Rhinolophus ferrumequinum: one gene and its partner. The protein of the gene in region 1 interacts with the protein of each later gene in a biochemical or structural test. Links are inferred from orthologs where the notes say so. Each region holds a gene or a part of one and is shown in the gene's direction. Other genes may lie near its edges.

Region 1 (7,933 bases):
ATGATATCGTAGCAATGGCCAATTTTCATTGATGAACCCATTTGAGGCAAGATTTTTAAGCACAGGGCCAAGGAATGTTTTAGAGAGGGAGCCAACTTTGGTGGCTACCATCTGGCTAAGGAAAAAAAGAAAAGAGGCAGACTGCCAAGCGGTCAACATGTGGCCTTTTTGTCAATCATTCAACAAATGTTTCTGAAGCATCTATTACCTCTCAGACACTATTCTAGGTGCTGGATTTAGAAATGAACCAAACAGACAAAAAGCCCTTATGGAGTTTTATATGAGAAATGATCAAAGGGAGGAGAGATGAGTATAATGGTTTAAACGATTATTTGATTTAGAAACTTGGAAACAAAAAAAGGGGAAAGAAATCAATGGCCTCAACAACCTGATTAAATCCAGTATCCAATCCCCATCCTGCTCACTGCCTTAGAGGTCCTACCTGGAATGCTCACAGGTACAGTATGTGCTAAATGGAGAGTACAAATTGGTCCAGGATTCACAACAATGGGAGTAAATCAGGTGACGGGAATGGTCATCATCTGGAAATATAGGCCTGGGATTGCCAGATCTTGACCAGGAACTGAAACCCCCATTTCTATGTGAATCTCTTGATGTTTAAGTTCTGATAGCTAATTCAAAATTTTCAATAGCACCATTAAGTCAAAAGCAACACTTCTTCAGGCCAAAGATCCCAATTTGCACCCTTGGTCTTAGGTGGAAGTCCAGCAAGGGCAGAGTCTTGGGGGACAGGTGGCTCCAACTTGTAATAACTTCAAGGCAAAAAGGAAACTCCTATGTTAGCTAAGTTATCCTTGATCCTTTGGATACCAGAAGGATTTGGATTATGATTTGGGGTGACCTGATAGCTCACTGTCTGATCTTAGTACATATTCATTCATTTGCTCCAATTCATTCATTCATTCACTCATTCATTAATCAAATATTAGTAAATGGCTTCGGTGGCTGAAACACTGCTCTACTCAGCTTAAACACATTCCCATTTGGCCAGCCTTTTCGGGCCTTCCAGTCTGGTGGGACTTAGATGGCATTTACACTGTGAGTACAATACTTACTGTGATAATGCTGACCTTGGATAAGCACAAAATAAGTATATCTGATTAGTCAGAGGATCGGTTGAATGCATTTCTGAGGATAATAATAGAAAGATGTCACTGAGCTACTCTACCTCATCTAGACTATCAGTTTGGTGGCTTTTCTCTTTCAGAAGAAGGTGTTCTGTTTCACACCTGATTTTTCATCTTCTACATGTTGACCCTAGAACCATTTCTTTCAACTAAGAATCACTATCTTTCTGCTGTTGTGAAAACTGTCCTCTAGGTGGTGCCATTTGCAGCTCTCTAAGCCTGCGTCGGCCTGCTTTCCACCCCAGCAAGGCCACTTGACTCCCTGGCCAGACAGCTGTGCCAGCAAGCTCTGCACAGAGCAGCTCTTTCCCAGCTGTTGTAGGGCCGGCAATGCTCCAGGCTGACTTCTAATTGGTCTTACAGGTGACCACCACCGTGTGCCTATCCATACTCTTGGGTTGCTTTGAACGGTGCCTGGGATCTCTGCTCCTTGTTTTGAACTCCTAGCAATCCGTTCTCTACAGTGTAGATTGGTAGTGAGTGCGTCTCATTTTACATTGTTGTTTATTCTTTTATGCATGTGGACTGTCTGGCCAAATAGATTATTAAGACTTTAAGGCACTGCCTGGGACTGGGAGTCTGCAAGTGTTTTTGTTGTTGATGGAGGTTGTGGTATCCTTTTCTTTATTCATCATTTACAAGGTCTATGCTCTCAAGCAGCTTGAGAGAGAGAGAGAGAGAGAGAGAGAGAGAGAGAGAGAGAGAGAGAGAGAGAGAATGAATGAGAATTACAGTGGTGTAGTGCTATGCATGCTGGGAAGCAGCTGTGCCAAGTGCCTGGGAACAGAAGGAGTGCAGGCTTATCCTTCTCCAGGAACTCCTTTTACAAGAGTGCGACCTTTCACTCTAACTCTAGGATCACTCCTAGAGACTATTCTATACCTTTGACTGTTTTTCTTTTCCAGTCCCCCAAGGACAGGGTGATATGATCATGGGGGTAGGGATCCATCTCAGAATACCATAGAAGAGGTGACAGTCTTCCCATTTTCCTCTGGTGTTCAGTGTTCAAGCTCCTAGGATTTTGTGGCTTGCTTTTCAGCTATCTAGTAATTGCCCTAGAATACTTAAAATGGTTGATCATCTTACTCTGTGTTTTGGGGTGATTTGGAATGTGATTTGTATCTACAGTGTATCGAAGCAGTTAATTCCTTTCATCAAAAAATAGGTCAATTCCGTCAAAATGGATCCTGGTAGCTTGATGACATTTTCAAAAATCTCAGAGGATTCTTGGCTAGGAAACCCAGACATTTGAAGCTTCCTGTCATTTAATTTTCTGATGTTTTGAATCTGAAACCCATATATATATATATACATATATATACATACACATATATATGCATATATATATATACACATATATATGGATGCAAACTTATAATTAAGCTTTTCCTCTGAAGCCATTTAAAAGTTCTGCATGTTGAATTTCAGTCTTTAACTTCATTAGTCACTTTATTTTAAATTTCACAGCAGGTCTAGTGGCTTTTTGTGGGCATTCACATAAATGTGAGGTTTGTCCTTTCTGCTCTCTGAGCCAAGGTGAAATCTAATCATTTTCTAGGCCAAATATCCTTTTAAAAGGGAGTCTAAAATATAGATCTTATATCGCGATGACTTCTTTGATCTAAGTTCTGAAAGAGAGAGGTGGGGGCAGTCAAGGGGTGGAGGTAAAGGCAAATGAAAGAAGGTAGTCACACATCTGTCATTCGAGAACCCTTTGTGCATTTGTGACCTGTAGCAATAAGACTGTCATGATCATATTTTACACTCTGGATCAGCAGGTTGCACCAGAGACATCTCAGAGAAAACAAAACGTGAAAAAGGGACTCCCTGTATAGAATTCAATTTACTTTCAAGACCTCAGGTTCCGTTAAGGCAGGACGCAATATGAGTTTCATCTCTTGTAGCTATTAAACTACATAAAACCTGAATGAGCAAGATTTTTTTGTGTGTGTGTAGCCATTTTTCAGTCCTATGTAACAACAAAATATGCAAACATTTTTAAGTAAACTGCCCCAATCGAGAGTGGAAAACAAAATACTGGAATAAAATTTTGCTGAGGCGATGTTGGTTTTCTCATTTTTCTATTTTACTCTTTCCTTTTCTTTCACGTTATTTTGCATTTTCCCAGTAGACATCCATAATTCAATCTCGGCCTAGAAGGGTAAATTCGATTACTTGGCTGTTAAACATCACGTGCCTTTTAAAAAACAGGAGGAGAGCTTGTAAGAAAACAAAAACAACCTCAATGGCGTGAAAACTTGGAAGATATCAGGAAGCTCTTGGTAACTTCGGCAGCTTCATTTTTCTGCTCAGGATTTACATTTCTATGTCCAGTAACTGGGGAGAGTTTCACCTTTTAATTCCCCCCCGACACACACACACCTCCGGGAACCAGTGACAATTACTTCTCTTCCTCCGTCACACTCCACTATCGAGTGTATCTGATTTTCTACTACTGAACTGGGGTCAGAGATGACAGAGATACTCTCTAACCGAATGGCGTTATAGAAATAGGAACGGGAAGGAATACAGAAGCGGCTGCAGAGGGTCGCGCCAGCAGATCTGTGCTGTCCAGGAGCGGGGGGCGCGAGCGCCGCGGCCGCCTGCGGGGAGTTGGGCAGGGTGTCCACGGTGACAGCCGGTGCAGGGGGCTCGCGGGGCCGAATCCTGAGGATTCCCCGAGGGCCGAGGCCGCGCTCCGGGGCTGGTGGGCTGAAAGGGAGACAGAGGCCGCCATATTCCTGCTTCACCACGCCCGGGCAGCCGGCGGGCAGCGGCAGGTTGGCGGCCGCCCTGGCTGAGCTGGGGAGACCCGACCCCGCCCTCCGCCGGGGGCGGCCGTGACCGCGGCGCCCGCGGGCCCCGCAGAGGGCGCGGGAGCGGAAGGCGCCCGCAGAGCTCCCAGGGCCGGCCCAGCCCGGGAGGAGCGCGGGCGAGGCGAGAGCCGCACTGGGCGGCGCGCGCGGCGGCTGCGAGCCCAGGAGAGCCTTCCAGGAGGGGCCGGGCGGCACCGCCTCCCCGCTCCCTCCTCCTGCGCCCGCTCCCTCCTCCTCCTCCTCCTCCTCCTCCTCCTCCTCCTCCTCTTCCTCCCGCCGCCGCCGCCGCCGCCGCCGCCTCCCTCCCGGATCTGTGCTCCAGTTCAGAGAAAGAAGAAAATGTGTGTGTGTGGCGAGGGGGAGGGCGAGCACTGAGCAGCCGCTCCGCGCCTGGCAATCGGGGCCGGGGGTGGGCGCCTGGCGGAGGCGGAGGCGGAGGCGGAGGCGGAGGAGCGCGCGGCAGCCGGCGGGCGGTGGGCGCGGGCAGGGCCGAGGGCGCCCGGAGCCGTGTTAAGCGGCGGCCAAGAGCGGGCGCGCCGGGCGCAGAGAGCCATCGGCGGCCGCTCGCTGCGTACGCCCCGGTGGATGTGCTCTCGCCGCCGGGCGCAGGGCTTAGGGGAGCCTCGGCGGCAGCGGTGGCCGCGCGGGGGGCGAGGCGAGCCGCCCGTGCCCGGGGAAGGAAGCCCGGGCGTCTGAGCAAGGCCGGGAGCGGCGGCCTTTCGTCGCGCGCACCCCGAACCAGCGCCCGCGGCCGCCTCCCGCCCCGCCTCGCTCCTGCGGGCGGCCCAGCCGTCTGCTCCCGCCGCACCCCCGTTCCACCTGGTGGCTCCGGCCCTGGCCGCGGCCACCGCGGCGGTTCCCCGAGCTAGTCCCGGACGCGCGCCCGGGCGGCGGGGGCTCGGCGGCCACCGCTGCCTCGGGGGAGCGAGGGCGGGAGGGTGTGTGTGCGCGCGTGTGAGCAGGGGGTGCCGGCGGGGCTGCAGCGGAGGCACTTTGGAAGAATGACTCTGGAGTCCATCATGGCGTGCTGCCTGAGCGAGGAGGCCAAGGAAGCCCGGAGGATCAACGACGAGATCGAGCGGCAGCTCCGCAGGGACAAGCGGGACGCTCGCCGGGAGCTCAAGCTGCTGCTGCTGGGTGAGTACCGCCCGGGGCCGGCCTTCGCGGGCCCTTTCCCCGGACCTCGGCGCCCCCCGCCAGCCACCCCCGAACCCCCCGGGCAGCCGCCGCCAGCGGCCCCCGCCTCAGGGCGCCCGCGGTTGTTCCCTACCCTCCCCCGGCGCGCCCCCGGCCACCACCCGCACCCTTTCGGGCGCGCGCGTACACACATACACTCGCACACACACGCAGAGGGGTCGGGCTGCCCTGCCCCCGGCCCCTGAAGGCCGTGCATTCGGGGTGCGCGTTTATTTGCCGTGCATCTCCTAAATGGCAAATAACTTGGGTGCGGGGGAAGGCATGGGAAGGTGGAAAGAGGGGTTGAACTTCCAGTGTCGTGGCCGCGGCGCCCCGTGGGTGGTGGAGTGGGGAGCTAGCTGTGTGTGTGGCCCGAGGGTGGCGAACGGAGCCAGGGCAACTAGGGGGTGGCCTGTGTGCATCCATATCAGTGCATTCTGGGGTCAGGAGGGAATGGTGGAACGGTGGTGGGCAGAGTCACAGCTGGCTTCTTCAAGGAGTGATGATGAGAGAGGCGAGTGGTTGGCCCTCCAAAGAAAGGAGGCTTATGTATTAGGGGGGCAGGGAGGCAAGCACAAATGTGTCACACAAGTGCTGTTCCCTAGCCACCAGACCAACGAAAGGACGGACCCCAGAAGAGTTTCTTGACCAGTGGATAGTGACAGGCGTGTTTCTTGTCTGCAAAATTCCTTCCAGATAAAAAGGCAAGGGATAGGGGAGCGTTGTGCTGTGTGGTTGTTGACAGCGACGGGTATCTTTTGTTTAATGAGGCAACCCAGATGTAGGCCTGAATTCACAATAGTTACTACTGAAAACCAGTGCAGCCTCTCAATTACTCTCATGGAGACAAATAGAAACCTTTTGTTTAAAACGGACAGCATTTTAATATGTTTGGAATCTGGACTGGAAGGAAAACGGGAAGTGTACAGCAAGAAATTTCCCTTTAATCTCTAAAAAAAAACCAAAAAAACTCAACGTTCTTCTCTAACACTAAGTTAGCAAGAAAATGCTGGTTCTCAATTAGGAATTCTGTTGATTATTATCTCTGAGAGATTGTTCAGAATCAGCCATCAGGGTTCGCATATACAAGCCAGGGTAACATACTCTGAGCTATTGTGGTAAGAAGAGCAAACAGCTTTGCAGTAACAGGCCTGAAAAATGCCTGCACTCGTGTTCAGGATATTTACGTGTATAATAAATATGTTTCTCAGACATTTCTGGAAGAAAAGAATATTGTATTGTCAATTCGGATTTGAGAAACGTGTTTTCTTATCTTGAGCATTCAGTCTCCTGGTTCAAGGAATCAGTTGCCTTTTGGACTGAACTGCTTATGTACCTGGATCATTTAAAGAAGGAACAAAATATAATGATCACAAATAGTTACAAATGGTTAATTCACATGCTATGCTTTATGTTTTCATTTTGAAGCAGATTAGATAAATGTGCACATGTTTATAAAGAACAGAAGGCAAAGTGCTTGATAAAAGAGGTGGGCTTTCAGAAATGAAGGCAGGGCAGGGTAAACTCTTATGGGAAAATGATCTTTTTATTTTTTTATTTTTATTCTCATTTTGAGCTGCTTTTACTGGCTGAAAATGTAGTTGAATGTTTTCTGAATTATCATGATTGAGAAGACAATAGAGAGGGCAAGAGAAATGTATAGAGTGTTTGGGTGCATGATTAAGGGGGCAAAAGCATGTGTTTTAGACTTAACGGTTTTTCTCTTTTCCCTTCCCTGTTTACAGCCTTTACATGTTTCTGTTTAGCTGTGAATTGGGTGGTGAGGGCTCTCAAGCCAACCCTATGGCTTGAAATGTGACAGCTCTGGGTTCCTAGGAGCTATGAGTTAGAGCCCAGGGGGTTCATCTGTTTGAGGGCCTAGGTTTCAATGTCTAGGAGGAGGACTTTTGGGGAAATACACATACATGGATGCTTAATTGCACACTGTGTATTTAAATAACATACTGTGCTTTAAAAAAATGAACTTGCAAGTAATTGCATGAGAAAAAAAATAAAGTAAAACAATTTTACTGCTTAAGTGTTGGCAGTGGGGAGGATTTTTTTTTTTTCTTATTAGATAGTTGAGTAGGGTTTAATACAAGCCCCACCCCGGCCCCCAAATATGGCCTCTTAGAAGTGGTAGAAAAATATGACTTTCATTTAGCACCTACATTCATTGGTAACATTTAAAAATGATACAACTTGCTGTTAGAAATGTGATGCCTAGACATCATGTAACATTTGCTACTGCTTCATGTTCTAAGTATGTTGCTTTTGTAACAAATCTACTGTAATATCTATGCTATTTATATAGTTAATGATATATGCTAAATGTAGGTTTGTGTGTATGGGCATTTCATGATTTTTTGAGTCCAGGAGATAAATGATGGTCGATGTGAATCAGGGCAGGTATTGGGAAGGGGTTCCTTTGAGTACCTCCTGACGGGCTCCTTAGATGAGTCTTCTGGTGCCTTCATTCATTTAAGTGATACCTGACCAAAGGAGGTTAAGGGATGTACCCTTTCACGGTTTAACGATTCACCAATATTTTTAAATATTTAAATTGAGGAATCACCCTTATTTTTAAATGAAATTCCAGATTAAATTCTTTTCAAAGTAGATAATTAGCTCAAGGCATGATGCCATTTTAATGGATTTATTTGGCAGGGGACCTTTCATTAGTCCACATAATTATTTAATTTTATATTAATAGTATGGAGAAATTAGACATGGAAATAGTGCTAGATGAAAATATGGCACTAAAATTTGGGTTATTTTTATTCATATCCAGCA
Region 2 (7,470 bases), on another chromosome or scaffold:
AAGGGCCTGTAAAGGGCTGCTGGCCCCGAGCAGCCGTGTCCAGGACGTCCAGCTGTTCTGCTCAGGCATGGCTCTGCCAGTGCCTCTCGCACCTGGGCCCTTGCACACATGGGACCAGCCAACACAGCTGAGTCAGAGGCAGCCGTGGGCTCCCGGCCACACAGGAAGAAGATGCCTAAGCCACGGTCATCATTTCAAAGGAGTATTTTGTAGGCAGGTCCTCTGGAGCCCAGGACACCAGGTAGGGAAGACCTTGGTAGCCCGGGCACCCGCAGAAGCCAGCTCCCACTGGCTCACGTCCTTGCCCTGGACAGGAGGTACGAAAGGATGAAGAACAGCACGACCAGGCCCAAGGCCATGCCGCACAGCAGCTTTCGGTTGTCTCGCCCAGACCGCGTCATTGTGGAAAAGCGCTTCACGCTGCCCGTGAGCAGGCCTGTCACGCTCATGAAATCCGAGTCCTGCGGGAGGAATCCCAGCTGGGTCACACGGGCGCTGCCGTGTGCATGGGGTGGGGGGCTAAGCAGGCAGTACAGGGCAGAGCTGCCCACGACATTCATGCACGTCGCAGACCCTTACCATGCCATCCAGGTACCGGTTCTGGTCCTCAGCATCTCTATCAATGTCCAGGGCCAGCTGGTCAGGACAGAAGGGGCAGGGTCAGGCCAGGGCAGACATACGGGACAGCGCCTGACCCCCGACAAGACCAGCAGACGCTGCCAACAACCCTGCCACCACCAGAAGTCAGGTCCAGATGTCACCTGGCCCTCACACAGGTGACCGCTGCCATGGATGGGACAGAAGGACGGGAAGCACATTTAACCCTTCCAGGACTCTACCCTCCCTCTCATCCCACCTGAGCAGGTCCAGGTGGAGGTAGAAGAGGCCACTACTGACCGATTTGAGCCTGGTGACTTTGGAGGCCAGGCTGTCGGCTATCCGCTTGTTCTCCCGGTCTAGAATCTCCTCCACAGCGCCAGAGCTCTGAGCTGCAGGAAGAGAGAGGCTGAGGGGGACAACCACCCATGAGCCCTTGACCCTGTGCATTGGCCCTTCGTGACCTCAGGACTCCCACTACGATCCCATCTGGCCAAGTGTCATGTCTGGGGGAACGGGGTCCACCTGTTTGTTGAGCAGGTCCAGTTGTACCCCAGGGGCTGGTGCAAGGACTTCGCACATGAGACAGGCTGGGTGACAGTGTGCGTGACCACCTGTTGTGTGAGCGCATGGCCTGAGCACATGTCCAGGCCGGGACAGGCAGGCACCCCCAAAGTGTACAACCACAAACAATTCAGTGAAACTGGCACTTTGGGGTACTATGACACCACCTGTACCATCCCTCCATGGATGTCACCAATGGTGTACATGGGACCTGTTTTACGAGATAAACAGTAAACTGGTGTGGATGTAGGAAAGGTATAGGAGAGGCACCCAGGGGGCAGCAGGAAGGTCCCTGCAGGGGACACCTGTGAACTGGGTCCTGGTGAGGTGACAAGTAACCAGAGCGCCGACAACTGAGCAGTGCTGCCCAAAACAGACCCCAAGGGCAGGGATGACATTTGATCAGGGCTGCGACCCACACAGGGCGTGGTGCCTGCTGAGACCTGCCAGTGACTAGGGCGGGGCCAGGTGATTCGCAATTACCGGCACATCAGGCGTGTGGAAACCACCTGCCCCCCACTTAAGAGTGTACACCTGCCGTGGGGCAGAAGCCTCGACGTGACCCCTCTAATGGGGGAGCAGCCCTGGGAATCACCGATGTGCAGACCCCTAAGGAAAGGGTGTTACGTCCCACCAGCCCCTTCGCGTTCACTGACTCCTAAGGACCAAACAGCTCGGCAAAGCGGCATCAGCATCGGGCGGGGCTCCCCGAGGCCCTCGGAGCCCAGGCCCCAGTCACCACGAGGCCTGCTTCCGCCCTCCCAGCACGCAGCCTCCGCTCCCGGGGGCTGGCCTGCGGCCCGTGCGGACGGTGGGGGCCGTGGCCGTCGGGCCCCCGCAGCTGCGCGATGGGGAAGGGCGGGGACACCCCCGGGTCCGGCGACCCCTCAGGGGCGGCGGGGCGGGGCCGGCTGACGCCTGGTCGGCCCGGCCTGGCTCCGCCCGCCAGCGGGTCAACCCGCCAAAGCCACCCAGCCGGCCGGGCTCTTGCTGGCAGCGGCGTCGACGACGGCCGGGCCGCCGCCACCGGCTCCACTCTCCCGCGCTCACCCCGAGCCCAGTCCGCCATCGTGCGCGGCTCCGGCCCCGGGCTCCGTCAACGCTTCCGCCACAGGCTCCGGCGACGTGGCCGTCACGGGACGGGGCTTCCGGCCCCGCCCCTTCCGCTCGGGCCCGCCGGCTTCCGGCTGAGATCCGGGCCGCGGGGGCCGTGCGGTGGGAGCAGAAGTGGCCTGACTTGCGGACGGGGCGTCAGTGTGTTCCATGCCGGTGAGGGTGTTGACATACACTCGTCACTCTCGCCGAAGGCTGCGTCAGGTCCCAAATGGCCCTTACCCAGGCGAGAGAGGGGCGGCGAGGTCCGGACAGGAGCCGCCCCCGCCCGCCGCGGTGCGGTTAAGGCGCAGGTTCGTGGCGAAGTCCCGGCCCCAGTTAATGCTGGAGGGACGCGGCGGAGATCGGTGCCCGCAACGAGCGAGCGCCGCAGGAGACGTAGGGGTGAAGCGCTCCGACAAGACGGTGCGGCGAGGCAGGGGTGGGGTGGAAGTGGCGGGGACGTGTGGCCGGTAGGAGCTTCCCGCTTTTGCACGCGGGCGTTGCTGACAAAGGGCCTGGCGCAACCGGGATGCCCAACAAAGACTTGCTGCAGGAGTCACCCACCGAAGACATCATTTGCTGTCATAAGTCCTCACAAACCATTGGAATGGGAATTTTTATCACCTGTGCTTTTCAAAAGAGGAGACTGAGTACAGGCCAGGCAGTGTGTCCCGATTACACAGCTGGGAAGTCGCGCCGGACACGTGATCAGGCGCTGCCTTCATCCTGACCTCCCCACACTCCTCTCTCCCCCATGGCCATTCTCCAACTGCCAAGTGGCTGCTCCTGCCTTGAATCACCTTCCCCCACGTCCTTTCCTGGCTCACTTCTTAGCGTCCTGTCTCAGAAAAAATGCCACCGCAGAGCCCTTTGCAGCGCACCACGCAGCCCAGACACGATCCCTTCTCAGCAAACCCCCCCGACCCCCGCTGTTTCTTGTTTGTAACAAATCAGACCCAAGTCCCTTTTTTTTTTTCTCAGACATAAATCAGGCTCCTGGGGCACCAATTCGCCCTGTGGATTCACAGCTAACACACTGACGCGTACCTGGAAGTGTTTTTACAAAACCTCCAACAGGCACGTAAACATCAGGCTAGCTGGCGCCAGAGAACTGATGACCAGAACTAAGATGTCTTTGTAACTCCAGCTCCAACCAATCATATGGTACCCCGGAACTGATAACGTATTGAAGACCCCCTACCCTCCATTTCACCCTTTAAAACCAATTGCCAACAAGCGGACAGGGAGTTCGGGTTCTTCCCGCGTAAGCTGCTGGTTCTCCAATGCATGGCGGTCTACAATAAAGGCTTCCTTCAGGGCAACCCAGTGTCAGTGTAACTGGCTACGCGCAGCGCAGGGGGGAGCAAACCGCTCGGTTACAACCACACGCCTTTCTGTTTTAAATCACAGCACTACGACTGCCTGAAGTCGTCTCGTTTGTCCGTTTTTTCTTGGCTGCCCTTGACTTTTGGAACGTCAGCGCCACGAAGACAGGGACGTGTGGGTCCTGTTTACCCGCATCCCAGCGCCTCGCATGCAGCAGTCACTCGAACACGTAACAAACCAAGTGGTCACAGGGCTGCAAAGTCCTTTTCACCTCGGCTTTGCCCCGACATCGCATTCGTGGGGCGGCTCCAGAGGAGCGCTGTTGTGCGCGTGGTGGGGGTTTGGGGGCTGCGGTCCTCTCCTGCCGGGAATTCCGGCACAAGAAGCGGGGGCAGTCACGAGGCCCCGAATTCCAAACATCACCGAGTCGGAGCTTGAAGCCCGTGCTGACCCGGAGGCAGAGCCTGCCAGCTCCCAGCCCCGCCACCGCCAGGCGCACGCAGCCCAGGCCCCGCCCCGCGGCGGCGCGCACGCCCGTCCCGGCGTACCCCGCGCGAGCTCCGCCCCGCCCCGCGGCGCCGCGCACGCCGGTCCCGGCGACCCCCACGCATCGAGTCAGGGAGAGGCGTTTGGAGTCCGGTCCGGAACCGCGGAGCGTGGCCCCTCCCTCCTTCCCGGCGCCGCGTGCCGGGGGCGCCATGGATCCCGGTGCGGTTGCGGATGCCGTGGAGACGGGAGAGGAGGACGTAATTATGGAGGCTCTGCGCACGTACAACCTGGAGGTGAGCGGAGCCGTGGACGTGGGACGTGCGAGGAGGCGGTGGGGCAGGGTGGGGCACGCGCGTGGCCGGCAGCGGGTGCGTGAGTGTGGGAGGGAGCGCGGAGGGGCGGGGCGCAGAGTCTACGAGGCGTTGCTGGGGGGCGAGTCGGGGTGCGCGCCCCGGGAACAGGTGTGTAGGGGTGGGGCTCCTTTGCAGAGGGGTCCCTGCGGCCTCAGGGCCCTCCTGGGAACCCGGGCCCTGCCCGTGTGCACCTGTGCTCCCTGAGTCTTTGGGTCTCTCTGCAGAATTCCCAGAGCTTCACGTTTGAGGACGCCCAACAGGAGGACAGGAAGGTGGGTGCTGCCCGAGGGGTGAAGGAGAAGGGACGGGCGGTCGCTGGCCGACACGCCTGCTGCAGCCACTCTTCCCTCCGCCCACAGAGGCTGGCGGAGCTGCTGGTTTTGGGCCTGGAGCAGGGCTTGCCGCTCTCCCGCCGCGTCACCTGGCTGCAGAGCATCCGCATCCTGTCCAGGGACCGCAGCTGCCTGGACCCCTTCACCAGCCGCCAGAGCCTGCAGGCACTGGCCTGCTATGCTGGCATCTCCGGCTCCGCGGGGTTAGCTCCTAAGGCCCTGAACATGGACATTGTCCTCGAGGCCCTCAAGTGCCTGTGCAACCTGGTGCTCAGCAGCCCGGAGGCACAGGTGCTGGCAGCAGAGGCCCGCCTGGTGGTGAGCCTGGCGGAGCGCGTGGGGCTGCACGGGGAGAGCGGCGTCCCGCACGACGTCCAGTTCTTTGACTTGCGCCTCCTCTTCCTGTTGACGGCGCTGCGTGCCGACGTTCGCCAGCAGCTGTTTCAGGAGCTGCAGGGTGTGCGTCTACTGACAGAGGCGCTGGAGCTGACGCTGGGGGTGACCCCCAAAGACAGCACCCCGAGGTCTCTTCCTCCCCAGGAGACAGAGCGGGCCATGGAGATCCTCAAGGTGCTTTTCAACATCACGTTCGACTCTGTTAAGAGGGAGGTGGACCAGGTGAGTCGACCTGCGCGGTGGCTGGTGCTCGCGTAACGCTGCTGGGTAGTCAGCGTGCCTTGCCGACGGGTGTCTGACACAGGGAGGAGGCAGGAGGCAAGGAGACACCAGTTCTGAGGCCTCGAGGAGGGTTTCTGAGGGACGCGGAGGCCAGGGCTCCTAGAGCCTGGCAGGAGGGCTGTGGTGAGAGGCTGCAGGTGACTCCTGCCACCAGAGTGCATGGGGGCTGGGAAACAGTGGGATGCACTCCCAAGGGGCTGCATTGCTCTTTCTGGGGGGCTGGGGCATACACTCAACAAGATGCACGTCACTACACGTGGTCTTGGACTGGGGTAGACACCACGCCAGCTGGCAGCGGTGGGACAACTGTGGCTCTCTGTCACAGGAACCTTTTTCTTTGTCAGGAAGATGCTGCCCTTTACCGGCACCTGGGGACCCTCCTGCGGCACTGTGTGATGGTGGCTGCTGCTGGAGACCGCACGGAGGAGTTCCATGGGTGAGTGTGGGGCCTGTCATCCCGGGAGGGAAGTGTGCTCACCAGTGTAGAAGGTAGCGTAGATGGGGTTCCCAGCCCAGCCAGTGGACCGGGCTCCACCCTGCAGAATCTTCCATCTGAGTGGGACTAGACATCAGTGTGTTTCCAGAGAGCCCGGCACTTGCAATACGTACTAGGATAAGAGCTGTTGTGTGTGGACAGGAAAGTGCCACTGGACCTCGGGTAGTGGCAGTGGGTGGCATGGTATCTACAGGGCGACGTAGTTCCTTACCGCTGTTTTCGGTGCCCTGTGCATAGGCAGACCCTGGTTTCCCAGAGATTGCCTATGATGTTTTAGCCCAGACAGAGGGTGGCAGGTGGGGCATCTGCACAGAGTGCTGCCCTTCTTGGGGACCTACCCCACTGGGCAGGAGTGCCCGAGGTCAGTGCCCCTTCAGCCTCGGTTCCTGGTGCTGCTCCTTAGGTTCATGTTGTGTGGAGCCCAGCAGGGTACACCAAGGGTTGTGCCTGTGCTAGGGGACTGGATTTAGCAGGCCCCCCGCCCCCGTCTGTCCCCAGCCACACAGTGAACCTCTTGGGGAACTTGCCCCTCCAGTGTCTGGATGTCCTCCTCACCCTGGAACCGCAGGAAGGGTCCCTGGAGTTCCTGGGCGTGAACATGGATGTGATCCGTGTCCTCCTCAGCTTCCTGGAGAAGCGTCTGCACCAGGTGGGCAGGGGTCCTGCTGTGGGGGCTGCCCATTGGCTCTGGCTTCCCAAGCAGCTGTGGCCACAGCTTTTGCAAAGTCCACACTGGTGAATGGAGACGGGCTCAGTGCCATGGTTTGGGCCCCCAGCCTCACGGGTCCAACCGGGCAGGAAGCCAGGCCCTCTGCCCTGAGAAGCACACATGCCAGGGAGGTTGACTGTGCAGCTTCCCGTGGAGCGTCTTCAGTCAACCAGAGTGCTTCTTTCTCAGACCTGTGGGGGGCTCCCTCCTGAATGGTCCTGAGAAGCCCCCCAGCCCCTGCTTGGGACTCCAGAGTCTTAGTGTCACTGCATAGGAATTTCTCGGGTACTGGCGTCAACTGTCCCGTGACCCACAGGTGCCTGCATCTGAGCACAGTGGCCGGCAGGGGCTCTCAGCAGCCCTCCGGGAGCTCGTGGATGTGCACGCCGCACAGCACAGACTCTCGGGAACCCACACTCACGTGCATGGTGGGCTAGGCCATGTGCCCAGCAGTGGACACACTAGCCATGACCATCTGTTCCTAGCACTACCGCTGCTGGTGCTGGGATCCAGGGAGGTAACCAGGGGAGGCCGGGAGCTGGGAGCTCCCTGGTCTCTGTCCACGACACCCACAGAAAGCGATTTTGTTCTCACGTTTTTAGCCACCATTTTCTGAGCGCCACTTGAGTGCTCAGTTTGAAACGCTGTTGCCCCACAGTCCTGGTTGAGGATGAGGAAGTTAGACTCAGTAGTTATTTGTCCCGTCACAGCACAGAGGTGGCCCTCTGGGTTGGGTTCCAGCCCAGTCCTTGGAGGCTCAGCGGGCACTCACTGCCCACAAGCAGCGGGGCCTCGTCCCGACTGCCTCCTGCTGGGAGGGCCCACGTGGTG

The links.
Region 2: the proteins of guanine nucleotide-binding protein G(q) subunit alpha (region 1) and RIC8A form a complex in vitro, tested with the Homo sapiens proteins (2 studies listed by BioGRID). The link is inferred for Rhinolophus ferrumequinum from reciprocal best matches to the Homo sapiens genes GNAQ and RIC8A.

The regions. Positions count from the first base shown.
Region 1 is NC_046295.1:42,698,282-42,706,214, reverse strand, and holds the start of guanine nucleotide-binding protein G(q) subunit alpha, read left to right. Parts: upstream 1-4,743; 5' UTR 4,744-4,965; coding exon 4,966-5,101; intron 5,102-7,933.
Region 2 is NC_046294.1:34,039-41,508, forward strand, and holds the start of RIC8A (synembryn-A), read left to right. Parts: upstream 1-4,130; 5' UTR 4,131-4,280; coding exon 4,281-4,364; intron 4,365-4,648; coding exon 4,649-4,696; intron 4,697-4,783; coding exon 4,784-5,374; intron 5,375-5,778; coding exon 5,779-5,870; intron 5,871-6,428; coding exon 6,429-6,579; intron 6,580-7,470. Other genes in the region: BET1L (BET1-like protein), read right to left, coding at 294-461, 580-636, 898-1,006, 2,212-2,426.